Linked DNA regions of Chlamydomonas reinhardtii. The protein of the gene in region 2 binds, or shares a complex with, the protein of the main gene of each other region. Links are inferred from orthologs where the notes say so. Each region holds a gene or a part of one and is shown on either strand. Other genes may lie near its edges. The genes, in order: CHLRE_03g172050v5, CHLRE_03g179550v5 and CHLRE_09g403300v5.

Evidence for each region.
Region 1: CHLRE_03g179550v5 (region 2) and CHLRE_03g172050v5 share a complex: the UniProt entries of both Arabidopsis thaliana proteins name them as parts of the 7-subunit TFIIH core complex. The link is inferred for Chlamydomonas reinhardtii from reciprocal best matches to the Arabidopsis thaliana genes GTF2H2 and AT1G18340.
Region 3: CHLRE_03g179550v5 (region 2) and CHLRE_09g403300v5 share a complex: the UniProt entries of both Arabidopsis thaliana proteins name them as parts of the 7-subunit TFIIH core complex. The link is inferred for Chlamydomonas reinhardtii from reciprocal best matches to the Arabidopsis thaliana genes GTF2H2 and AT4G17020.

The regions. Positions count from the first base shown.
Region 1 is NC_057006.1:4,010,229-4,015,527, reverse strand, and holds the start of CHLRE_03g172050v5 (uncharacterized protein), read left to right. Parts: upstream 1-2,252; 5' UTR 2,253-2,352; coding exon 2,353-2,359; intron 2,360-2,436; coding exon 2,437-2,540; intron 2,541-2,680; coding exon 2,681-2,760; intron 2,761-3,271; coding exon 3,272-3,435; intron 3,436-3,648; coding exon 3,649-3,909; intron 3,910-4,270; coding exon 4,271-4,578; 3' UTR 4,579-5,299. Other genes in the region: CHLRE_03g172100v5 (uncharacterized protein), read right to left, coding at 464-542, 734-927, 1,221-1,412, 1,649-1,780, 1,925-1,999. UniProt on the Arabidopsis thaliana protein: Component of the general transcription and DNA repair factor IIH (TFIIH) core complex, which is involved in general and transcription-coupled nucleotide excision repair (NER) of damaged DNA and, when complexed to CAK, in RNA transcription by RNA polymerase II.
Region 2 is NC_057006.1:4,896,812-4,901,989, reverse strand, and holds the start of CHLRE_03g179550v5 (uncharacterized protein), read right to left. Parts: upstream 3,488-5,178; 5' UTR 3,243-3,487; coding exon 3,169-3,242; intron 3,085-3,168; coding exon 2,994-3,084; intron 2,823-2,993; coding exon 2,727-2,822; intron 2,294-2,726; coding exon 2,074-2,293; intron 1,942-2,073; coding exon 1,767-1,941; intron 1,570-1,766; coding exon 1,404-1,569; intron 1,197-1,403; coding exon 966-1,196; intron 268-965; coding exon 22-267; 3' UTR 1-21. Other genes in the region: CHLRE_03g179500v5 (uncharacterized protein), read right to left, coding at 4,390-4,601, 4,837-4,941, 5,106-5,178. UniProt on the Arabidopsis thaliana protein: Component of the general transcription and DNA repair factor IIH (TFIIH) core complex, which is involved in general and transcription-coupled nucleotide excision repair (NER) of damaged DNA and, when complexed to CAK, in RNA transcription by RNA polymerase II.
Region 3 is NC_057012.1:644,552-649,220, reverse strand, and holds the end of CHLRE_09g403300v5 (uncharacterized protein), read right to left. Parts: intron 4,565-4,669; coding exon 4,414-4,564; intron 4,163-4,413; coding exon 3,920-4,162; intron 3,791-3,919; coding exon 3,663-3,790; intron 3,347-3,662; coding exon 3,262-3,346; intron 3,060-3,261; coding exon 3,009-3,059; intron 2,630-3,008; coding exon 2,497-2,629; intron 2,105-2,496; coding exon 2,049-2,104; 3' UTR 1,186-2,048; downstream 1-1,185. UniProt on the Arabidopsis thaliana protein: Component of the general transcription and DNA repair factor IIH (TFIIH) core complex, which is involved in general and transcription-coupled nucleotide excision repair (NER) of damaged DNA and, when complexed to CAK, in RNA transcription by RNA polymerase II.

The DNA.
Region 1 (5,299 bases), about 890 kb from region 2:
CAGCTAACGGTGCCGACGCTTAGATGTAGTGCTGGTGGGTGCAGGACGTGCATGCCCCTGCAGTGTGACGGCTGTTGAGAGGTGTGTCAGGCTCACAGCGCCAATGAGGAGCAATCCCGCTTGTTTGGCGGCACTGGGCGGTGATGCTTCGTGTTAACAGGATTGGTGTGTCGCAATTGACGTGTGTCTCCCGCAACAAGCCTCTTCATTAGCTCATGAAAGCATTCTGCGCCAAGGCAACAGAGCAACCTTCCAACGCTTCGCGAATCCCGTCCCGGCTGGCGTCGAGCTTCCCCCTGTGAATTAAACACTCCGCCTTGCATGGACGGCTACCCCCTTTCCGGCCTGCCTCTGTCGCCTTCAGTAACTGCGCCGCGCTGTTAGCCTCTGCCCATCAACCTGCATAGCCTGTCTATCATTCCTTCACATTCAGCGCGCAATCGCGAGCTCGGCTGCTTGGGTGCTAGGAGCTGGTGGGCACGCTGTTGATGGGGTGGCAGCACGCGCATCGCCCCAGCTGCGTCACGCCGCCTGGCAGCGCCCTGCAAGGAATAAACACACACGCGCGACTTACGAGTAAAGCTCTTTATCTGCAATACACTGAGGCGACTATCAGGCTGTAGAGCTCCACATGCAGGCTCCCTTCAGGCTCATAGCACTGTTATCGAGAATGCTTTTTAAGACTGTACCGGGGCTTCTTGCACCCCCAGTTCCTGCCTCCCACCTGACCCACCTGACCCACTCCGGCATGTTGTCCGCCGCCGCCAGGCTCCGGGCGTCCATGCGGTCCACGTACAGCACCCCGGCCAGGTGGTCCACCTCGTGCTGCGCGATGCGCGCCGCCCAGCCCGTCAGCCGCAGCCGCAGCGGCAGCCCCTCCACGTCCACCCCCTCCAGGTCCACCTCCCGGTACCGCCGCACAATCGCCTGCAGGGGCGCGGCAACAGCAGCAGCAGCGTGAAAGGAAAGCATACGGCGGCTTGCGACAGTAGGTGGGTGTGCATGTGGGGCTGGCGTGTGCCAGGCCCCGCTGCTTCGCCACCAACTGCCGCAGCACCGCCCGCCCAGCTTGGTGCTCCTCTGCCAGACACTCGCATCCTACACCCCAACACAACCCACTCCCTCTGACCGCTTATCCCTTTGTACGGCAAAAACCGCCCCACGACCCCCTCTCTTCCCTCATTCCCCAGGCAGGCAGACTGCCGCGGCCACCCACCCACCGTGTACCCGCGCACGCTGAGGCAGCCCTCGAAGAACGCGCCGCCCTCCTGCCCCACCGCCTTGAGGGTGGGGTTGACCACCACCAGCGGCCCGAACGGCCGCCGCTCCACCGCCGCCAGCAGCTCGGCGCTGTACACGCCCGCCGCCGCCTGCCGGTCCATGTACTCCTGGCGGTCCTCCATCACAATTACCTGCGGGCCCCGCAGCGATGCAGCGAGGAGTGGTGTGCGAACATGCGAACATGCAAGTGCGAACCTAGCGTGCCGATGTGGGTCGCCATGCCCCTATTGCTCGCTCCTAGCTGCGTGCACCAACGTGCGGTGATGGAGTGACACCGGCACATGCACGGCAACGCGGCACCAGCCCAGCCGCAGCCTGCCTACCGCACTGCCCACCGCCCCCCTTCCTTATCGTCTACACCACCCACCCGCCAGGGTTCGCCAATCTGTGGTGCGGCCAGCCCCACCCCCGGCGCCGCACGCATGACGTCCGTCATCTCCTCTGCCAGGCCCCGGAGCCAGCCGCTACCCAGCAGCTCGCGAGGCACCGTCTTGGCAGGCTGTGCTGCGGGCAGAGGAGCAAGCAAGTCACCGAGCCTCAACCCCAACCAGCGTGCGGGCCGGCACAGGAGCGGGGACAGGGGACGGAATGCTGAATGCAAGGGGTGTGCGGCGAAGCTGCGTGTCAGCTGTAAAGCTCGCACCTGCCGTAGGACGGGAGACCCCGCCTGGACGATGGACCGCAGCTTGGCCGCATCGGGGGCTGGGGAAGTTGCCATGGCAACGACACCCTGACCCCGTGGAGCACCCGTACGTGCAGCCCGCTCCGTCCGCTGCAGCTGTCGCTTCGCCGCTGCTGACGTGCAGGTGTAGCGGCTTCCAGAGAGCATAGTTGGCCTAGGAAACAAGCGCAGTGGAGCGATCTAGAACGTGAAGCTGGGGCCAATGGACCCGCGTGTATTTATTGCATCGATCGGAGTCTTCCGTGGATTTTCGATGCCAGTCAATACATGAATTATGTATAGATATCAAGCTTACAAGTAATAAATCGGGAAGCAAGTCTATGAATGTGTCAATGAGCTGCACTGCACATTAAGTTCCGCGCGCTGCTCGCGCGGCGGGCGCCGAGGCCATGGCGGGCAAGTCATTCGGGGCTTAAAAACATTAGGTTAGCAATGTCATTTAACGCGACTGAAATGGACTCGCTCTGTCGCAGACGAGGGCGATTTGCTGGTGGTGCTCTTCGACCTGGTGCTGCTGCGCCCGGATAATCCCTCGGCGGACTCCCTTGACGTGACTCCGGCCGAGATCCTGTCTCAGGTGGGGCCGGGGAGCGCACGCGGGGAAGAACCATCGCGTTCCGCCTTTGTCTGCCGTTCGCGTGCTGACCTGCTGCAACACCTGCACCCCATGCCCATACCCTTCCCTGCCCCTCACCTCCTGCCCCTGACTTCCTGCAGCTCCTGGCTTTTGCAAATGCCTACACCATGCTCAGCAGCCACAACCGCCTCGCCGTGTTCGCGGGGCAACACGACTTCAGGTGCGGGGCTGGCCGGCCCAGACGGAGCCTATCTCCTGCTTCGTAGCCGACCGCCGCTAGCAGCCAGCCGCCAGCCGCCAGCCGCCAGCTACCTCCGCATGGCGCCTCCACACGAGCGCCATGGCCCCATGGGTCCCTGGCGCTGCTGCAGTGCCAAGGCTGCACACAGCACACGCATGGGGGGCATGGGGGGTGCGAGCTGCTCTGTGCGAGTGTTCGGGGTGTGTGGCGGCCGCTAGCAGCCGGCCAGGTGCTGGGGCCAGCCCGGACCGTGCGGCACACAGGCCGTGACGCACACAGGCCGTGCCGTGGTCTGGACGCAGCTGCACTCCTGCTGCTGCTGTGCCGCCTGCTTCCCAACCTGTGCCGCCCTCTCCCGCGGGTGCCGCCTGTTTGCGACCATCCCACGTCTCTTCCAACCCACCACCTGCCCGCACCTACTACCCCTCCGCATCAACTCCACTCGTCATCCACCCTCTCCCCCTCTCCCCTCTCCCCTCTCCCCCCTCAGCCACCTGGTGCACCTGGGCCTGGGCGAGGACGCCAGTAACACCGAGGTCTTCCCCGCCGGCGCCCTGCACACACGACTGACGGACCTGGTCACGCAGTGCGCGGCGGCGGCGGCGGCAGGAGGCGCGGGCGCAGGGGCTGCAGCCAATGCTGGCCAGGGCGCAGGTGGGAATGATGCCGCGTTGGCGAGTGGCAGCGCCTTGTTTGGGTGGTGGTAAAGGAGGGGAATGTGTCGATGTCGGGCGCACGGACCAGGGTAAAGGCGCTTGCATGTTCGCCGTTCACCGTGCATCGCATCGCGCTTGGCCCCAGTCTCTCTGCCGTCTGCCGGCACTCACGCAACCCCCCACCCCCACCCCCAACCCCACCCCGCCCCAGGCCCCGGCTTCGCGCTGTCGGGCGCACTGTCCCGCGCGCTGTGTCTGGTCCACCGCCTGCAGCAGCAGCAGGCGGCCGCGGGCGGGCGGCCGCGCGGGCGGCCTCGTGTGCTGGCGCTGCTGGGCTGCGGCGACACGGCGGCTCAGTACATCCCGGTGATGAATGCCATCTTCTCCGCGCAGCGCGCCCAGGTGGTGCTGGATGCGGTGGTCGTGGCGCCGCAGGACTCGTCCTTCATGCAGCAGGCCGCGCACCTCACAGGTGCGGTGCTAGGGCGCTAGGGCGGTAGGGTGGTAGGGTTCTAGGGTGGAAGGGTGGTAGGGTGGTAGGTGGTGGGCTGCTGGGTGCTTGAGGGCTTGGTGGCATTCGTCGGTGCTCAAGGTGGTGTTTGAGGAAGGGCTGCAGTGGGTGCGTTGGTTGATGCTGGTAGGCCACGCATGGGATGGGGCTAAACAATGGTTGGCTGCGCCGTTGAGCAGTTTGACGTTCTACGAGCCAGAGCATACCGGTATGACCGAGCGAGCCACAAGCTGAGGCCGCACGCTGCAACCCGGTGGCAGCGGCGGCGTGCTCGGCTCGCTGACACAACCAAACCCACAATGCCCAACATGCACACACGCAGGCGGGCTGTATTTCCGGCCGCACCGAGGTCGCGGCCTGCTGGGTGTGCTGCTCAACCACTTCGTGTGCGACACCGCCACCCGCAAGCAGCTGGATGAGGCTCAGGCCTTAGGGGTGGACTTCCGTGCCTCCTGCTTCTGCCACAAGTACGTCATAGAGACTGGCTACGTGTGCAGCGTGTGCCTGTCCATTTTCTGCCAGCCCAGCCGCTCATGCACCACGTGCGGCACAGCGTTCGGTGCGGGCGGCAAGGCGGTGGGCGCTGGTGGGGGCGGGGGAGGGGCGGGCGCGGTGGGAGGCGGGTCGTGAGGGCGGGAGATGGGACGCAGGGGCGTGTGGGGGTGCGGGTGTCAGGCGGTATGCACGCAGGGGTAGGCCCACGGGCAGTGGCAATCCGCCAGGGACGGCCAAGTGGTTGTGTTGAGGCTGCGGCTGATGATTATAAATAAACGCGTGGCGGGCGTCACGCTTTGTGTTGGAAGCATAGCTATGGTGTGAGATGCAATGGCACAAGCGGGCACATTTTGGGAGGCTGATGGAACGAATGAACAAGAAAATTAACGAAGTGTCAAGTTAGTCATGTCGGGCTTGGCGACAAGCTACATTATCGGTATGGAGTGGGTCAGAGGGCGTCACACAAGCAGATGCAATTGCATATCTGGTTGAAAGATACCCGCCCCTGCCTCGGGTGGAGGGCCTGCCGCAGTGGAGGTGGAGGTGCATTCGCGCCGCGTGGGGCTGCGTGGGGCTGCATACGGCCCCTGAATCTCGCCAACTACCCGTTTCCGGTGGGTTTTGGCAAGGCATTTTGGGGCCCCTGGATGGCGTGGGCGAGAACGTGGCCTTCTCGCCAGCGGCGGCGGCCTACCCCTGGAAGATGCAAGAGGGCCTATGCACCCTAGTGGTGAAGCCCAATCACTGTGTAGCGCACCTGTATCCCTGCCATCAGTCCATCAGTCCATCAGTCCATCAGTTACATGCACGCTGCTGTTACGTACCTACCCTCACAGCCGAAGTTGTAATGGGGAGG
Region 2 (5,178 bases):
CAACTTCGCACTCTCGGGGCATCAACCGGCCCCCAGGAACTCGCAGCCGGGGCAATTGTGTAGGCTTTCGTGGACGTACGCGTCGCATTCGAAGCAAAACACCTGCTTGCACTGGCCACAGCGCAGCGTGAGGTGCAGCTGCCCCTTGACGCCCGGCTCCGACACCTCGCGTAGGCAGCCGAAGCAGTACGCGCCCGTGGTTGTCATAACCTCGCTGCACATGGCCGGTTGCTGCGCCTGCACCGCTGCCGCAGCCTCCGCCCGCTCCTGCAGTGCATCCGAAGAACGTTCACTGAACAGCCGTGCGAAATGTGGAAGAAGTTGTAGCTAGGGCATTATTCCTGCACAAATCCAACTCTTCGACATGACACGACCTGACTAAGACGACCCGGGGTATGCTCCACAAATCCTTGCAATAATCGACATGCGCTGCATTATGTCGCCCCATTACGCAAATGCGCATCTCAAATAGTAGCAGCAACTGCCCAGGACTTGGCAGCCACGACGCGTGCACAAGCCAACAGTGTCGTGCGGCAAAACCACGACGCCTCCTGGCCGACGCCTTACCGCCCACGACCTCGCCTTACCGCGACCTGCGCGTCACACCTTCCCTCCCTGGCACCCCACCCCACCTCCTACCTCCCCCCTACTGGACATATCGGCGCTTGTAACTTTCAGGGACGGCTACCCCCACCCATCCACTCACCGCCACGCGTCCTTCAGTCAGTCCGCGCCAATAAGCCCGCACGTGCCGTGCACGCCGTCTGCTTCCGCAACCCACCCCCACAAAAACCCTTCATGCGCTATCCCTATGGGCCATTTCGTCAACGGTATGCTCCTGCTGTTTCTACAGGAAGCCGGCACTCTGAACCTGTGGTTTGATCACTCCGTTCTCCATGAACGGCTAAGCCCCTCTTCCACGCCCCTCCCACGCCCCTCCCACGCCCCTCCACACAGGCACGCACCTCGCTGTCCTCGTGGTAGGGCTGCACCGGGAACAGGTGGTGGTAGGAGCGCGCCAGGTGCGGGCTGGAGATGAGCGTCAGGCCGCACGTGTGGCACTCCACGGGCAGCTCGGGCACGCGGCTGCGGCAGCGCGGGCAGGTGTAGCTGCCCGGCAGCAGCCGCGCCTCCTGCCCCACGAACACCGCCGAGCTGGCCTCCTCCGTGCTGCGCTGCGGAAAGCCCATGCGTACCTGGCGCCCGCCACGTCAAAAGCAGGAGGGGGAGGCAAGGCGTGAGGCAGGGCGGAGGTGGTCAAGCCGGGACTACCGGGACGCGGGCAACCAAGAACTGATGTAGCCCTGTATCAAGCACGCCAACACAGCTCGGCCTTCTCCCGCCCGCCCGGACAGCTGCTGCAGAGCGCCACAGCCCGAACCCCGGCCCCCTCGCGGCCTCACCAGCTCCGCCTTGGCCTGTGCTGCTGTGGCTGGCGGTGGCGGCGAGTGCGCCATGAGCAGCTGCTCCAGGTGTCCCTCGTTGAGCGCCACGCCGTAGGTGCCGCCCGTGTCCTCCGTGATGCGTCGGCACACGTACACCTCGGCAGCCACACCCACCACCGACACCCTGCGGACAGGTCGACGGGCGGGCGGGCGCGTATGAGCATGGGTGCCATGGATTAAAAAAACAACAAAACGAAGCTCTGGGTGCCATGTATGTGTGTATCCTCACGGTCAAGGTGTTGTGGCGCTCGCTACCTCCGGCCCGTGTCTCTGATTCATTGATGGGAATGGCGAAATAAACTCCCTCCCTCCCCCGCTCACCGTATGTTGTTGTCCTTGCACGCCTTGACGCTGTCCAGCACATTGCCCGGGTCGCAGCTGGCCAGCGCCGCGAAGAGCAGCAGCAGCTCCCGGTGCCCGTACGGCGGCAGCTGCTTCAGCAGCGACACGCCCAGCTCCAGCGCGTTCTGCAGGGAGGCGTCGCCGGCGGGTGCGCCTGCGTGCGGGGCGGGCGGGTCGCGGAGTGCGGTGGTTAGGAACTAGCCATTAGTCCCACGCACACACGCACATACGCACACGAGCTGGCAGTAGCCCTGCCCTGTCCTGCGCGACCCCGCCCCCCACGCACCCAGCTTGCCGGCATCCAGCCTCGCCACCTGCGCCTCCGGCGATCCGCTCAGGTCCGTCAGCTTCTCCACCAGCCCGCCGCGCATCACCGCAATGCCCAGCTGGCTCAGCGGGTTCTGGTCGAAGAACTCGCGCACGAAGGAGCGGCACAGCGACAGCATGCAGCCTAGCCGGTTGGGCCGCAGGTCCTGGGCGGAGGCGGCGCGCGACAGGTCCACCACCTGTGTGACCAGGAAGCGGGGAGGCAAATGGCCACAGGGGAGGACGGCGCCGAGGGGCGGTGAGAGCTGAAGAGGTTTAGAAGAGATGGAGCTGCGTGGTGGCACAAGGGATGGGCCGGCTTGGAAAAGGAGAGCGCGTGGTGTGTCTGGCGTGTTTGTGCCCGCGTGCCACTGCTGGTCCCAGTCCGTCGCAGTCCTTACGTCCCCGCACGCACTGGGCCCTTGTGACGGCATGTGGACACCAATGCACGCACGCGCGCACACATACACACACACACACACACACACACACACACACACACACACACACACACACACACACACACACACACACACACACACACACACACACACACACAACCAAACAAATACAAACACACACACACACACACACACACAGACACACACCAGCCCAGCTGCCCCAGGTGCTCACCAGCAGCACATAGCGGATCATGCCCTTGCGGATGCGGGCGCTTTGCGCCGCCGACAGCAACCGCTGTCTCCGGGCGCGCTGCTCCGCGGTTTTGTCCTGTGGGACATCGCGTGAGGGGTCAGGCATGACACAGGCCAACTTCTGGATGTATTTTGTGAGTCGCTGTGGCAGTCCAGATCTCGGCCGCCGGATGGCAGCCCGGCTGGCAGGAAGGGGAGCGACCATCGGCACCAGGGCACGGTTTCTCCAGCCGGCTCAGGCACGTACCACGAACAGGTTGCCATGCTCATCCTCCTGCAGCTGATCCCATGTCTGCTCGTTTTCATATTGCCGCTGGTATGCCTCCTCTTGTCGTCGCCTGCACAGCGAGAGGAGCGAACAGGCTGAAATGCCAACCCGCTTCGCGGCGCCCGCTGTGCAATGTTGGTAACCAAACTCTTACAGTTCATTCTCGTCAATGTCGTCGTCGTCTCCATCTTCAATCCCGAGGTCGTCTCTCCGCTCGGCTGCTGCCATTGGAGTTCGCGCGCTCGCCCGCCACACAGCCGCTCAATTTAATCTAGCTTGACTTTGCTTTCTATTGAGATATAAAGGACCCGGAACGGAATAGACGAGAGGGAGAGGCACCGTAAGGACCGACGTCAGGGAGCAGGTGCGGGTTTTGGAGTGTGCAGCAAGTCCGTGCTCGGCAGGCCCGGCGGTGAGTCGCTTGGTAATGAGACGTGCGTGGTATCTGCGTTGAGCGTAATGATATGCTTCTCATTCATTCGGACTTGTGAAGGCTGCGTGCTCCTTCGTGATTACTATGCCGCCAAGGGGGGCCCCTGTGGGCCCAGCCTCATGCAGCTGCATGCAGGGGCGGCTGCATGCAGTCGCGCAGGAGCACCCACAGGCCACTACCGGCTTCACGGCTTACACATAAGACCATGGGCTCGATTCTCCAATGACTCCAGCATTCAATGGCAGTTCTTAATAATATTACGCGTGAGCCGCGCTGATGGACCCAGGGTGCGGCGTACCAGGACCCCGTGACATGCGCCTCCATGCATCATGAAACCCTTGCCCAAATGCGCGGGCACACGCGTGCGCCTCATGTCTACAACCTGCTCTCATGCTGCACAATTCAGCCATTAGGACTGTATTCTTCCAGACAAGAAACGGTAAAGCTCTTGCCTTGCAAAGGGTGCCAATGCAGCGCCCCATGCTGCCATGCACGCCACCAAAATCAACCTGGCACCCACTACCCTTGCACGCAGCGTGTACCGCAACAGCTCTGCCCAGATACACACAGCTAACGTTATAATCACGCGTCAGCGGAAAATTGCGCTGCTGGCCTCCCACAAGATATGAAGAATGAAAATCTAAACTGAGACTGTTGGTGATGCACAGCCGTACAATGTGGTACGTGGTGTACCGCCGCCAACGCGTCCAGAGGTCAGCATCAGCTCATCGCAGTGATAAGCAGGGGAGTTCCATGCACCACTCGGCCGAGCCGCTTCTTTCCGAGGGGTCCAACGGGCTCGCCGTACACCAACTGCTTATCTGCGCACCTCTCCTCCCTGCTGCGCTGCCGGTCACATTGCCTGCCTGCCTGCCTGCCTGCCTGCCTGCCTGCCTGCCTGCCTGCCTGCCTGCCTGCCTGCCTGCCCCGGCCCTTTCGCTCCTAGGGGTTGTAGGATCCCTTGTTGCGGATCCACTTGACCGCCACCCACTTGTTGCCAGTCACCACCGGGCAGCTGCCGTGCAGCGCGTGCTGGTCCAGCCGGCCGTCCGGGAAGGCGCTCCAGAACAGCACGGCGTCGCCGGCGCGCGGCTTGTAGCGCAGCCCGCCGTCCGCATCGCAGTCGGTCCAGTTGGTGATCGGCTTGTCGATGTCTGGGTGGGGAGTGATGTGGAGTAGGTGCCGGTCAGCAGGGTTCGGTGTTGGGGGAGACAGCCTTTGCCCGGTAATCAATGGCAGTGGTTGGTGCCGTACAGACGCAGCTGGGTCCCCCTGCCCCATAGCGCGCCCTGACCCTCCACTCGCTTGCAGCCCCGCCCGCAGCCACCCGTGCAAACACACGCGCTGCTCGCTGGCTCGGGGCCCCCTCCAGGCTGCCGCGCCACTCACTGGCCTTGCCCTCGCGTTTGAACACCGTTTCTCCGCCCACCAGGCCCTCATCGCTGAGCACCACAATCACCGTAGCGATGCGCTGCGAGTACTGCTGGCCGTACTCTGCGGCGGCGGGGGGGGGGCGACCAGGGCAGCGGCAGGACCTCCGTGTTTGGTCATTGTTCGGGTTAGTGCACGAGCGGGTGGCCCATTACGTCTAACACTTCATCCCCGCCCGCCGCGCCCTCCCCAAGGTCATTGCTGCTTTCGCAAGGCCCCTCGCTCACCCTTGGGGTCAAAGCTGTCCATGTGGGAGTCGTAGTGCTGCGTGTGCTTGTAGTTAAGCACGTTCCAGAACTC
Region 3 (4,669 bases), on a different chromosome or scaffold from region 2:
CCGCCGCGATTACGGCTGCATGTGAAGGCTTGCATGTGCTGGTTGTGCTGTCGGGCTGCTTTCCGGACGAATGGAGAGATGTGGGAGGTAACAAACTCGTCGGGCGCGTACCGGAGGTCTGGGGCTTTCGTCAATACCGTACGTAAGATGTCTGGCATGCGTCGACCGTATTACTGGGATCCTCTGCCGACGACACATTACACTCCACACCCTGGGGGACCCTCTGCCCCTGCAGAAGGGGCCGAGGTTAGTAGGCACTTAAAAATGCATGTTACGACTGCATGGCCGTCATGCCATATATGCCATCATGGTTGGGGCTGCACCCAATAAGATGAAGGTCCAGCATGGCCACTTCTACTATTCCTACATGGCCTCGGTTGTGTGATCTATGCCATTCATGCACTGGAAGAATATCGGTGGCTTTCAAGCCACCCCAACTATGACTTGAAGGGAGAGAATCGTCTGGAGACATAGTAAACTACTACACCATGCGGTATGAAGGTGCTTTGACACAAGCACGCCTGCTGAGAAAAGCGGAATATGGTGGTGAATGTGTACGTGCGAGAGAGAGTGATAGCAGTATGTTTCCCATGTGCATGGTTTCAACTCCTACATATTGGAGTGTCATGGGGCGTGATGAAATTGCAGAACCAGTGCATGGTGCACGGCTTTCGCACCCATGAAGTAGTTTTGATGCCTTCGGCCTCAGACGTTGCACCAACGTGGTGTTGGCGCAGCCCACTTTTCCCTTGAGAGGCAGATCAACATCATGCCGTTTTGGCCGCGTCCTTCATTATTCAGCGCCAGACTGCCAGTGCAATGCCAACTTGCCAAGGAATTCCCGTGCACTTGAGCCAGGGGAGAGGGTGTCGGCACGGCACTCAGTTGGGCTCGCTCTCACGCTCTGCTGAGGAACGCTGCGTTGGAAACCTGGAAGGGTGGCCTAGGCGCTCCGTGTGAGAGTCGTGTGTAGCGGGCCGTCCCAGCGCTACTGGACACCTGGGCGCGGCAGCCGGATGGCTGCTGGGGTGGAGTCCCGGGTCTGCTGGATGGCCGGGCCGAGGCTGCCGCTGACCGAGCAACCAATGCGTGGGTTGGACCGGCCCAGCACTGTTGGATGACCGGTCGGTCAGGTCGTTCTCAAGCAGGCAGGTGATGTGGCTGGATGCCCGCGACGATCGACTGACGGCCTGGCTTACGTCCACCACCGCTGCACAACCCGCATGCTCCCCTTCTGGCTTCTGCCCACTTTGCATGGTCCATCACCTCTAAAGCAGCACAGCTTTGCAGCTGCACGGCTCTACGGCTCACTCCACTCCTCCACTGCCACTTCACGCATCGTTTCCATATACTTGCCGACGCTTCCGTTACAGCACTCAATTGATAACGTCCAACTTTGAATGTCTTCTAGCAATTTCAAGTCCGAAACACACGCGCACACGAGACTCCTGCTCCTAACCAGCCAATCTTAATGGCCACCTGCGAGCACAGAGGGCACATCTCCTTCACTGTTGGGGGCGGCCGCCGTGTGGCGCCTCAGAATGCAGCTATCCAGCCACTACAGCCTCGAGCAGGACACCTATACCGGCAGTAGCTGCGAGTACGGTACGCCGAAGTTAACACCAAACCACACAATGCCGACAACACCGCTCCTGAGACACGCCGTACGCCATGCTACTCTTGGTACGGGTCGTTGAAACTCTAGGTTTCCGACTACCGGCTACGCTCGTGCGGAAACCTTCAAAGTCCAATCTAGCAGTCCCGCCAACCGGATGGCTGCGCATTACTAGCATCGTGCCCGGTACCACCGCACGCAGCCCAGCCTCCGCACGGACCAGCTGCCCCCAGCGGCACCCGCAGCGGCAGTCCGACGACTCCAAGCCCCTGGCAAGTCCTGCTGACAGCTCCAACGCTGCAGTTCCTGTTGTGACCTATAGCTGTGACCACGGCTGCAGCCGTGGCCGTGGGTCTGTCCCTACTTCACCATTAAACCTCTCGCCTGCTGCTACAGCCCCGGGCTCCTGCTGCTACATCCCGGGCTCCTGATGCTACAGCTTGAGGTCCTGCTTGGCCTTGACGATGAGCAGCTTCATAGCCTCGTGGCCTGTGTGGGATAGAGAAGCACAAGGGGACAGGGTCGAGACCGTGTGTTTGTGTGCGTGTGTGTATGTGGGCGTGCGGGTTGCTGATTCCGGCAATTTGGGGCTGGTGGGGAGAGGACGAGGAGGAGGAGAGGAAGGCCCGAGACGCACGAGATAGGGGAGGATAGTGTGAGGAGTTTAATAGAACCGAACCCAACATGACAGCCAAAGTGCGCCGAGCTGCACTGAAAGCTGCACCGGGAGTCCGTTGAGCGAGAAAGGGACCAAGGCGTGGGCTCTGCTTCCGCACGGCTCATACCATTCCACTGCGCCCCAACCCAAAGCCCCGCCCGACCACCCAATCTCAACCACCCAACTACCCGCCCAACCACCCAACCACCCAACCGCCACCCACCTGACTCCAGCGCCACGAAGCGCATGCGGGCTCCGTCCTCCCACTGCAGTGTGCCGGCCGCCCGCGCCGCCGCCACGGCCCGCTCGTACAGCTGGCGGCTCTCCATGTTCTCATACAGCACCGCGGGGTGGGCCTTTGCGGGGAGGAGGGGGGGGGGACGGGGAGGGGGCAGCCTTTCACGTGGAGAACGAAGTGATCAAATCACAAATATGGGGGGAGGACGATAAGGGAGCGTGTGTGGGCATGTATGCGTGTGGGGCGGCACGTTTGTGAGCGGAGCGGGTGGCATCGGGCGGTGCTGCCGTCCATAAAACACGGAGCAGGAGGGTGGTGGGCGGGAAGTGATGGGTCGGGGAGGAGGCAAACAGGTTTTGGGCCGGCAAGGCGTGTGCCAGCCGCGGACCCAGTGGGCTGCCCGTGTGGCTTGCAGCCTCAACCCCTGGCCGCGCCCCTGCCCGTACACGCGCTCCCCGCCCTCCACCCCGATTCCCCCACCGCGCGTGTGCCCCCACCTGCAGCCTATTCATGGACGCCTCCCACAGCCGGATCTGGTCCGACACAACCTGATCCGGAGGGCAGGGAGGGATTACATGTATGGGTACTTAAGAAGAAGCGAAGGCATAGTCAGGCGCAATGGTAAAAGGTAATGACAAATAGCAGGCGACATACGATTGCTTGGACGCAGACGCAACCCTGCATGTACCCGTCCCCCCCACCCCTTCGCGCCCGCTAACACATGCACGCACGCAGGCCGCAAGGACGCACCTCAGGCACCACGGGGCAGCGGGCGGCGATGGAGGGGTGGGGCCGGGCGGACAGGTACGCCACCAGCTCATCCGCAGTGATGCCCCTGTGCGTGCGTGTGTACGTGTGTGCGCGTGCGTACACGTGTCGCAGGCATGCGGGTCAGGGAAAGCGGGCAAGAACCATTCCACGTGAGATACTAAGTGAGGGGTCAGGAGTCTTCCAGATGAACCCTGTAATCCAGACCCCGAGGGCACTCTCCTATGACTGGCCCCAACGCCATCCCGCCGAACTCGGGTTGCCCGCCCCTGTGCCCCGTCCGTTCCCCAACGCTCCCACCCTCCCGCTCCTCTCTCCTTCCGTCCCTCTCTTCCCTTTCCACTTCCTCCCTCCCTCTCACCCAAATCCCTGTGTGTCCCCACCTGGCCAGCGCTGCCAGTATACTGTCGCGGCGGATGGCCCCCACGAACAGGTTGGGCAGCAGAGCCTCGCGCTTCACAAACAGCTCCAACACAGCAATGGTGACTGGCGAGCGAGTGTACACATACACCTGGAGGTTGGAGAGGGCGTAGGGAGGCGTGTGTGCATGAGCTCCGGAAAAAGGACAACCTCTTGCCTGCATGTGTTAGGACGAGCACTCGGTAAGGGACGCGATGTGCCTGTCCGCAATAGCCCTCACTCGGTAATTGCTTTCTACAATGACAAAGGCGTCGCTGCCCGCGCCGCCGCCATCCATCGCCGCCGCAGCGGCCGCGCCGCCCGCGCCGCCGCCACGAGCCGCCAGCGCGCCGCCGCTGCCGGCGGCCCCCGCGCTGCCCTTGCCTCCCGCGGCGCCACCTGCCCCGCCGCCAGCTCCGCCGCTGCCGCCGCACAGGGACGCGGCGAGGCGCGTGGGTGTGTAGAATACCTCCCCGTCATCGGTCTGAGGGCGATTAAAGGAGGAGAGGGCATCCATACATGGAGACAGGAATGAATGAGGAGCGCCGCCAAGTTGTATCCCAAGGCCGAGAACCGGCAGCCAGCCCCGAACACATCGCGACGCTCTTTACCTTTCCCCAGCGCTCTCCCACAACCCTGCCGCACCCCTCCTCCTCGTGCCTCCTCCCCCTTCCTGCCCCTCTACCTCTACCGTCTACCACTTCCTTAGCTAATCATGAATGTAACCCCTCCCACCTGGAACACCGCCAGCACGCCCAGCTGCGCCAGGTGTGCCGCCATGCGCTGCTCCGGCGGCCGCAGCTCCGCCCAGGCGCAGGGCTGCCCCACCCGCCGGAAGCCCAGCTGCAACAGGAAGGACAGCGTGTGGGCCAGCTCGTCACCGGACCTGCGGGCGCGTGTGGGGTGGATGCGGGAGTGGGGGTGGGCATGGCTGAGGGGTCGGGCTCAAAGCCAACGCCACCGTTGACACACACATCACGCGGCACATAGC